Schizosaccharomyces pombe: one gene and its partner. Each later gene encodes a partner of the first gene's protein in a complex. Each region holds a gene or a part of one and is shown on either strand. Other genes may lie near its edges.

Region 1 (3,628 bases):
CTGAAGTTATTTGGAATCACGGCTGCTGAGTTTAAGGTTGGGCTTTTGGGCTATTATTCAAAGAAAGGTGCTTCTGTTGAGTTTCTTCAATCCGCACCTGGTGCAGACGAAGCCATGGAGTAAAATGTATATTACAGTTAAATGGACACATCGCGTGCACTATTGCATTATCAAAGTTTTTTGCTTTTTATTTTCGGATAAAATAAAATGAAAAGAAGGGTTACTAGATTAGTGAAAGCCCTGTGTTACCGTGCTTGCATAGTTGACGGACTTTGGATTTAAAACAATGGTTTTTTGTTCATGCTCTGATAAATTTACATAGAGATATGTACTCTTTCTTTTCTTTTACTTACTTTTGGGGGATTATTGGTTATTTCTTTTCCATAGCGGATGAAAATATATGAATAATATTTTTATACACTTTAAAATGAGTCATGTAGCACGTTGACATGGTAAAGTTAGTTTGCTAGTTTCACTTTCGCTGTGAAGGCCCTAAAAGTTGATTTCCAAACTCCAATTGTTGCTTTCGTAACGTACGAAAGAATGGAAACAACGAAACTGATTGTTCTTTTGACCGTCGATATGCCGCATTTTGTACTTTAAGGTAAAATCGATATAATTAGTTTTAAATGTTTTAAATTTTATGGAATCATTTTAGTAGCTATCCAAATTATTTCTAAAACTTTTTAAAATGTATAATTCACGTTACACAATTACATTTTAAAATTGTGTCGCGCTTCACACTTCCTTTCCACCAACATTCACAATGACAGCATATGCAGCAATTATAGGAACGAAAGATAATCCCGTTTATGAATTAGAGATGGGGCCTATAAATGAAAAACTAGACAGGGTATGTCACATAATACTATTGATTTAGAACGCTAATATCTGAATTAGTCTTTAAATTCTCATCTTAATCAATTTATCGTTCATTCGAGTTTAGACATTGTGGATCAGCTACAATGGACTAGCAATGCCTTGTACGTTTTGTGATTTCTTTTGTTTCTTGCAGTCATTGCTAATACTCTGTTTTTGTATAGTTATATGAAAACCATCGATCAATTTCACGAAATGTATATATCTGCTTACGTTACGCCATCTAGTAAGTGTTTTGTTCCCTTTAAATATCTGGGGTGACTTTTGGACAACTACTAATGTTCATTATTTTTAGATATGAGGTTTATGCTTCTTCACCAAAACCAAAGTGCTGACAACATTAAACTGTTTTTCCAAGAGCTCCACGAATTATACATCAAAACTCTAATGAGTCCTTTCTATCAACCTAACCAACCTATTCGTTCTCAGGCTTTTGATTTAAAGGTCCGTTCAATTGCTAGAAGGTATCTGTGATGAAAAGGTGTTGGTTGATTTCTTCCTCACGTTCTTTCTCTCCAAAAAGCATTTATCTTTCTCTTGCCTTTTTATTTGTAAGAGTGAGGCATCTACAATGCCTATGCTGGCCGAGGTTGATAATTGTTCAATTTCCACATACATGAGGCATTGAAGAGGAAATGTTTGCAGATATGTATTTTTTTTTCAGTTTTAAATTTTGACTCATTGTGTTTACACTCTGTATACAACATATATATACGTCGTTCTTTAGTTATGTGTACCTCACTTCTTCCTACAATTGATATCCATTTTACATAAACACAAAATAATACTACATCCTTTAAGCAACTGGTCGCGTCAAGCTGCGACCGTTCTTAGTAGTCCGATCCTTACAGAAGCAATTGTCAGACAACTTAAAAAAAAAAAAAAAAAATCCCTATCTACTAGATAAAGAAAGATGTTGGGAATATTAATTTCTAGAAAAACAACATTTTTTAAGCCGAAAAAATAAAGTAGTGAACCGATTGCTCCATTTTAACTTTTTTCTTTACCTAAGAAGTAGAGTTCTTGCTATAACCACATACTTTTTATTTTTTGTTTCATCACATAAAAGTTCCTTTAATATGAATACTACCTTGTGCATCGTTATCCAGCTCGATGATACCTACGTTGTGACCCACAAGCTCACCAGAGCAAAATACAGGTACGCTTGCAAAATTTCACTTTAAATTCTACTGGGGCGTAGATATGGCAAAATCAAGTGAATTTGTAAACGAGGAAAGTTCAGAAGATGAATCTAGCGTTTCTAGCATAGAGGATCAGCATTCGTCGAAAGAACCTGAACAATCCGTGGAGAGCAACAATCACGGCGAATCGAACGCACAAGAAGATGTTGCAGAAATTGCTGGTTTAGAGAAAGTGCAAGGAAAGCCTGTTTTGACCACTAATGACTTGAAAAAGGAGTCCAATGTTTTTTTAGTACGACTTCCGCCTGGCATGTCCGCTGACCAAATAAGTCAGCTAAAGGTAGGCTCCAAACCTACAGTAGAATTAAAGCAGGAGAACGAAAACACCTATCAAATCCGAGAAGAATCAACAAGCTCCGTACGTGTGTTTTTACCTGACGAGCAAGGTTCCTATACGTCAAATGAAATCAAAACTGGATATGTGATTACAGAGACCCCCAAAATTTCACAAAACATTGATACTGGTATTACAATACCTACGCAGGCACCACTTGTTCCTCAAAGAAAGAATCTGAGACAGCATTTTCGCCCGATTGGAGATGCTGTAGGGCCTGAATCGGAACCTGAAGCTGAACCCAAGTCTGGCATCAAAGAACATATTTTACAAGAGACTGGTGATGCTACAGTAGAGGAATTACAAAATAAAGGGAAGGAAAAGCAAAAGGAATTGAAAAAGGGAAAAAGGGAAAAGAAGGATGAGGAAGAAAAACCTAAGAAGAAAAAGCAAAAGAAATCCAGCAAAAAGGAAAAAAATTAGATTGCTTGAATTAGTGTAATATTATCACCTTTTAATAGAATTCTACCTAAGCAATGTTAGCAATTGGTTTGGGAAATTGTTAAATATTTTAGAACAAAAATCTGCATCAACGGTTTGTTTTAGAATTTGTAAGGTTGCTGGAAACGCAATTTGGTAAATCAGCTTAAGACATGCATCTATTATTATTTTTGCTTCATGTAAAGACTTTTGAATAAAATCCCACCGAACATTCTTTCACATAAACCAAGGTTTTATTCGTCTAAAATCAGGCTTACCTAACTCCCTTTTATTATTTTTAGCATCTACTTGCACAGCATCGTCAAGCACAATGTTCATAAATTCGTCGAAGCCCTGTCATATATCGTTAGCAATTCATCAACTTGTCGTAGGGAAAATGAAGGTATTTCAAAATCCTAGGCCAACGACTATGAAGGGATTTTCCATAAAGTAAATTTCTTACCCTAATTTGTCCCTGAAGTCTTATATCTGTTTGTTCAAACAGCCAAATTGAAACAGGAGTATGTTGTTGCAACAATTTGAAAATGAAATTCTGCGTAAGTTAGCTATCCAACAACAATTAACCATACAATAGGAGGTATCATAACTTTTTGCACGCGTCCTGACATCTTGAAAACTTATTTTATCAAAAAACGAAATTCTATAGATGGTTGTGCAATGGTGCAGTTGGCGGCCTGTCAGCACTGACTTAGTGGATATTTAGCCAAGACCAAAAACCTCTTCAATAAATTTGTACCACATGGATCAATGTTTATCGATCCTTTATTTTTTT
Region 2 (3,609 bases), 1.7 Mb from region 1:
AGTCCTCCTACCTACTTCTCTACGAAGTTGTAACATCAAAATCAAAGGATCTACGAATTGGTTCGCATGCGGCGCGGCCACTAAAATTAGAGGTCCCTTGCGAGGAACTCTAAAAGAGCCTCGCGTTTTAACTTCACGGAAAAAGAAATCGATTAAAACTGGGGTTCATTAATTAGCGTTCCGGTTGTAACTAAATGATAAGTAACTTACTTGATAAAATCCATAAGCACGTATCATAAATAAAGGTATGTTGCATTATAATTGAGTGAACGAACCCGTCTTCAGGGTTTCAAGTAAGATTAAACGATACTAGTAAAATAATCGTGAGTGTTTGGGAGGGGCCTCCTGGGTAATTCTAATAAGGTCTACGTAAAAAAGTAGGTCTCACTATATAGTACGCTGAAGTTGTATAAGGCAACGCGTTGTTTCATTAGATAGTTATAAGTCACTAAGATATACATGTTAATATCAATCGACATAAATCAGTATTAGTAGAAACATTAAAGATGTGATGTGAAAGAAATAGTATATTAGGATTCACAGAGTATTGATTTGAAAGATTGAGTTTAGTAATTGATCTCGCCATGATCTTTGTTAAATTGTTATTTAACAATTATTTGTGACAACAATTTCGACAATAAAGCCTATATTAAAAAAAAAATCAATTAAACTATGGGATAAACAAGAATTTAATGATGAATTTAAAATCTTTAAGCATAATCTGATACTTGCAACTGAGAATGAATGGATAAGGACTTACAAAATATGCAAACTCAAGTACTGCGAGTAAAAAAGTTGCATTGTAGTTGTCCTCAAACACATGATCAAAAAAAACCTTAGGATTTTTTCTCTCACGTTTAAAAGATTTAATAAATAATCGCAGCCAAAAAACCCAATTTTTTTAATGAAGCGCAAACTATATTCGAAAGCTCATATGATGTTTTAGAAATCGAACAAAATAACTGAACCACAAATAATCAACACACCTTTAAATTTACTCTAACTCTGTTCTTTTTCCCCTACACCTTGAGTCGTATCCGCTTTGGCCTTACGAGCCTCTTCCTTTTCCCGTCTCGCAGCCTTCTTTTTTTCCTTTTTTAGACGCTTTTTGGTTTCTTTATCCAAATGCAAATCATCGTTCTCTTCCCTTGCATGTTTCAGACTTTCCTCTTCCTTGGTTTCCAACATTTCTTCAGGTGGTATTATTAATTCCTCTGTGGGAGGGCCTTGGACAGGTAAATTTAAAGAAATAAGCGGTATCTCTTCTCCTTTCAGGTACATCAAGACTCTATTTAACTGGGATAGAACACTCTCACTTCCAGATTTTTCATCTTGGAAGCGCTCAATCGTTTGGATGTAGCGATTGAGAAATTTACTAGACGCGTCTTTGTCTAGCTTTTCAGACTTTCGCAAAATCATTTTAGGTGGACATTCTGTCGCCATGTTTAAAACGAAAATTCTCCTGAATAATGCAAAGTTCTCACGAACACAGCAATAATGTAACTTCAGTATCAAATGGAAAAGTTCAAGTCTAATGTGTAACGTTCTATACTTTTTTTTTTTGACATCAAATCACCACACTATTCACACATAATGCAATTCAAGAAGTGCTTAAATTAGCTACGCAATTTCGTATTCGTTTAGCGCTGCGTAGAACTGCGATAAAATTTACTTGTGATCTAGTTTATAGTGGTATGCATGATTCTTGTATGAAGTCTATATTCATATCTCATGTTCGTATAAGCTCATAACTGAACCTCATTCCTCATTTCAATTACCGCCTATTTATAATGTCGTAAGCATAGTTATCTACGACAAGAAAATGAGTTTGTATGAATATTGTCTCATATCTAACGGATGATAACAGAACATGTTATTTATGGTAATAATGTAGTATAGCTAATAATAAATATATTATGTAAGTTTAAATTAATAGTTTGAGCAAATAGATGCAATACTGATCCATCTCAAATTGTTTGAAGATAGGATAAGTCGTATAAGTTTAAATCCTCAGAGGTTTCATGGTGTCTGTCTCTTTAGTGTTTGAAGTCTTAGAAACCTTTTTTGGTCTTTCTATTACTTCCATTCTTTCGGGCCGTAGAAAAGATCGCATATTTACACGTTGATTCTCTTGACGATAATTTTGAAAATTCAGATGAGATATCCATCGCGACGGTGTAAAATACTTCTCACGAAGATATGACACCATTTCAGGGCTTTTATTCGTAAAATATATCCATTTTCGTTTTTTTTCCTTATAGATTATGTTTTCGTTAACTAATCTTTCTTCAATTCTTTTGGCATCAGCATAGCTGCAATCTTAGATAATGTTAGTATATGGTCAATGAGTTGGTAAATTTCCTTACTCAGTCGCGCCGCTAGCTTTTGGAACCCTTGATACTCTGACGCCCAAATACACCGAATTGCTCGTCTGTATGCGACCAACATGGTCATTCGGTCATACAAACTAGATTCAGAATCAACTAACAAACATGTATAACATAACAATTGGTTTGGTTGGCGAGGATCAGAGTCACTCTCAAATCCATAGCAAGCACAGTGAACCCATCCATCACATCTTTCGCATTGAAACTGTGTAAAATATTGTTAGTCTTTAGCAGGTATAAACGATTACACACCATTTCTGAGTCTTCCGTCGAATCACCGCATTCACAATTCAAAAGTGCTTTTTTCTTTTCGGCTTTGTCAACTTTGTCACTCCCTGAAATGTTTTTTTTTAACCAATTGCTTTTCTTTACTTCTTCACAAGGATTGTTATTTTTTATTTCCCTTAATCCACGACTTTCATTCTGCATTTTCTCACATTTTCCTTGACTCAAACTTTTTTCAACTGATTGTTCATCCAATATTTGAGTTGAGCCTATTTCATCGTATTTCAAAGGCTGGAGGAACTTTTCGAGCTGAGAATCAATTTTTTCTTGAGAATCAAATAATGATGATTCTTTATTAATCATGATCTTCTCTGTACTTATCGGTACAAATGCATGAGAACAATGTGAAATCGCAATACTATAGATTAGTAACTTGAAATTTGTTTTAATTTACTTACCCATTGTTTGATTCATAAAAAGATACAATATCTTTGAATTCTCCTCGATTGAGCCAAGACATGCAATCTTTTGTTTCTACGGTATTTAAAAACACGCCAGCTTTAGTTGCTTCTCCTTTTGATAATTGAAAGCGTTCCATTTTTGTAATAATTTGTACGACTTTTTCTTCGTCTTTGCACTCTGTTTTTACGTTACCACTTAAAAATAACTTTATTACAAACCTTTCTGAACGTTGATAAGCTTGATAAAACTCTCATGAAGTCTGTTAAAAAATTTACAAACAAAAGACTCACAACATATTTTCTCTTCACTTCCAGGGTTAATTGTAAATGAAAATATCTCCTTTTCAACCGCGTCATCCTCTAATATTGACTTGCATTGTGACGAAATAATCAGGTAAACAGTAAATGGAACTTTCATTGATACAAGTGAGAAAATATAAGTTTTCTAAAATATTAGTTTATTTCTTTAGATAAGTTTTAAACACTCACCATCATTTCCAAAAAACTGTCTGCTTCTTTGTCCACTCCAGCTTGTA

Evidence for each region.
Region 2: rpa34 (region 1) and ker1 share a complex: the UniProt entries of both Schizosaccharomyces pombe proteins name them as parts of the RNA polymerase I (Pol I) complex.

Annotation. Positions count from the first base shown.
Region 1 is NC_003423.3:1,761,670-1,765,297, forward strand, and holds rpa34 (DNA-directed RNA polymerase I complex subunit Rpa34), read left to right. Parts: upstream 1-2,024; 5' UTR 2,025-2,082; coding exon 2,083-2,838; coding exon of another isoform or gene 2,839-2,884; 3' UTR 2,885-2,951; downstream 2,952-3,628. Other genes in the region: mRNA turnover and ribosome assembly protein Mrt4, read left to right, coding at 1-123; TRAPP complex subunit Trs20, read left to right, coding at 767-853, 901-983, 1,044-1,105, 1,175-1,353; Sm snRNP core protein Sme1, read right to left, coding at 2,835-2,884, 3,114-3,189, 3,299-3,388, 3,426-3,464. UniProt on the Schizosaccharomyces pombe protein: DNA-dependent RNA polymerase catalyzes the transcription of DNA into RNA using the four ribonucleoside triphosphates as substrates. Component of RNA polymerase I which synthesizes ribosomal RNA precursors.
Region 2 is NC_003423.3:3,472,563-3,476,171, reverse strand, and holds ker1 (DNA-directed RNA polymerase I complex subunit Ker1), read right to left. Parts: upstream 1,528-3,609; 5' UTR 1,444-1,527; coding exon 1,000-1,443; 3' UTR 513-999; downstream 1-512. Other genes in the region: sct1 (glycerol-3-phosphate O-acyltransferase), read right to left, coding at 1-158, 211-256; synaptonemal complex-associated protein hop1, read right to left, coding at 2,003-2,319, 2,367-2,592, 2,640-3,030, 3,071-3,311, 3,350-3,518, 3,563-3,609. UniProt on the Schizosaccharomyces pombe protein: DNA-dependent RNA polymerase catalyzes the transcription of DNA into RNA using the four ribonucleoside triphosphates as substrates. Component of RNA polymerase I which synthesizes ribosomal RNA precursors.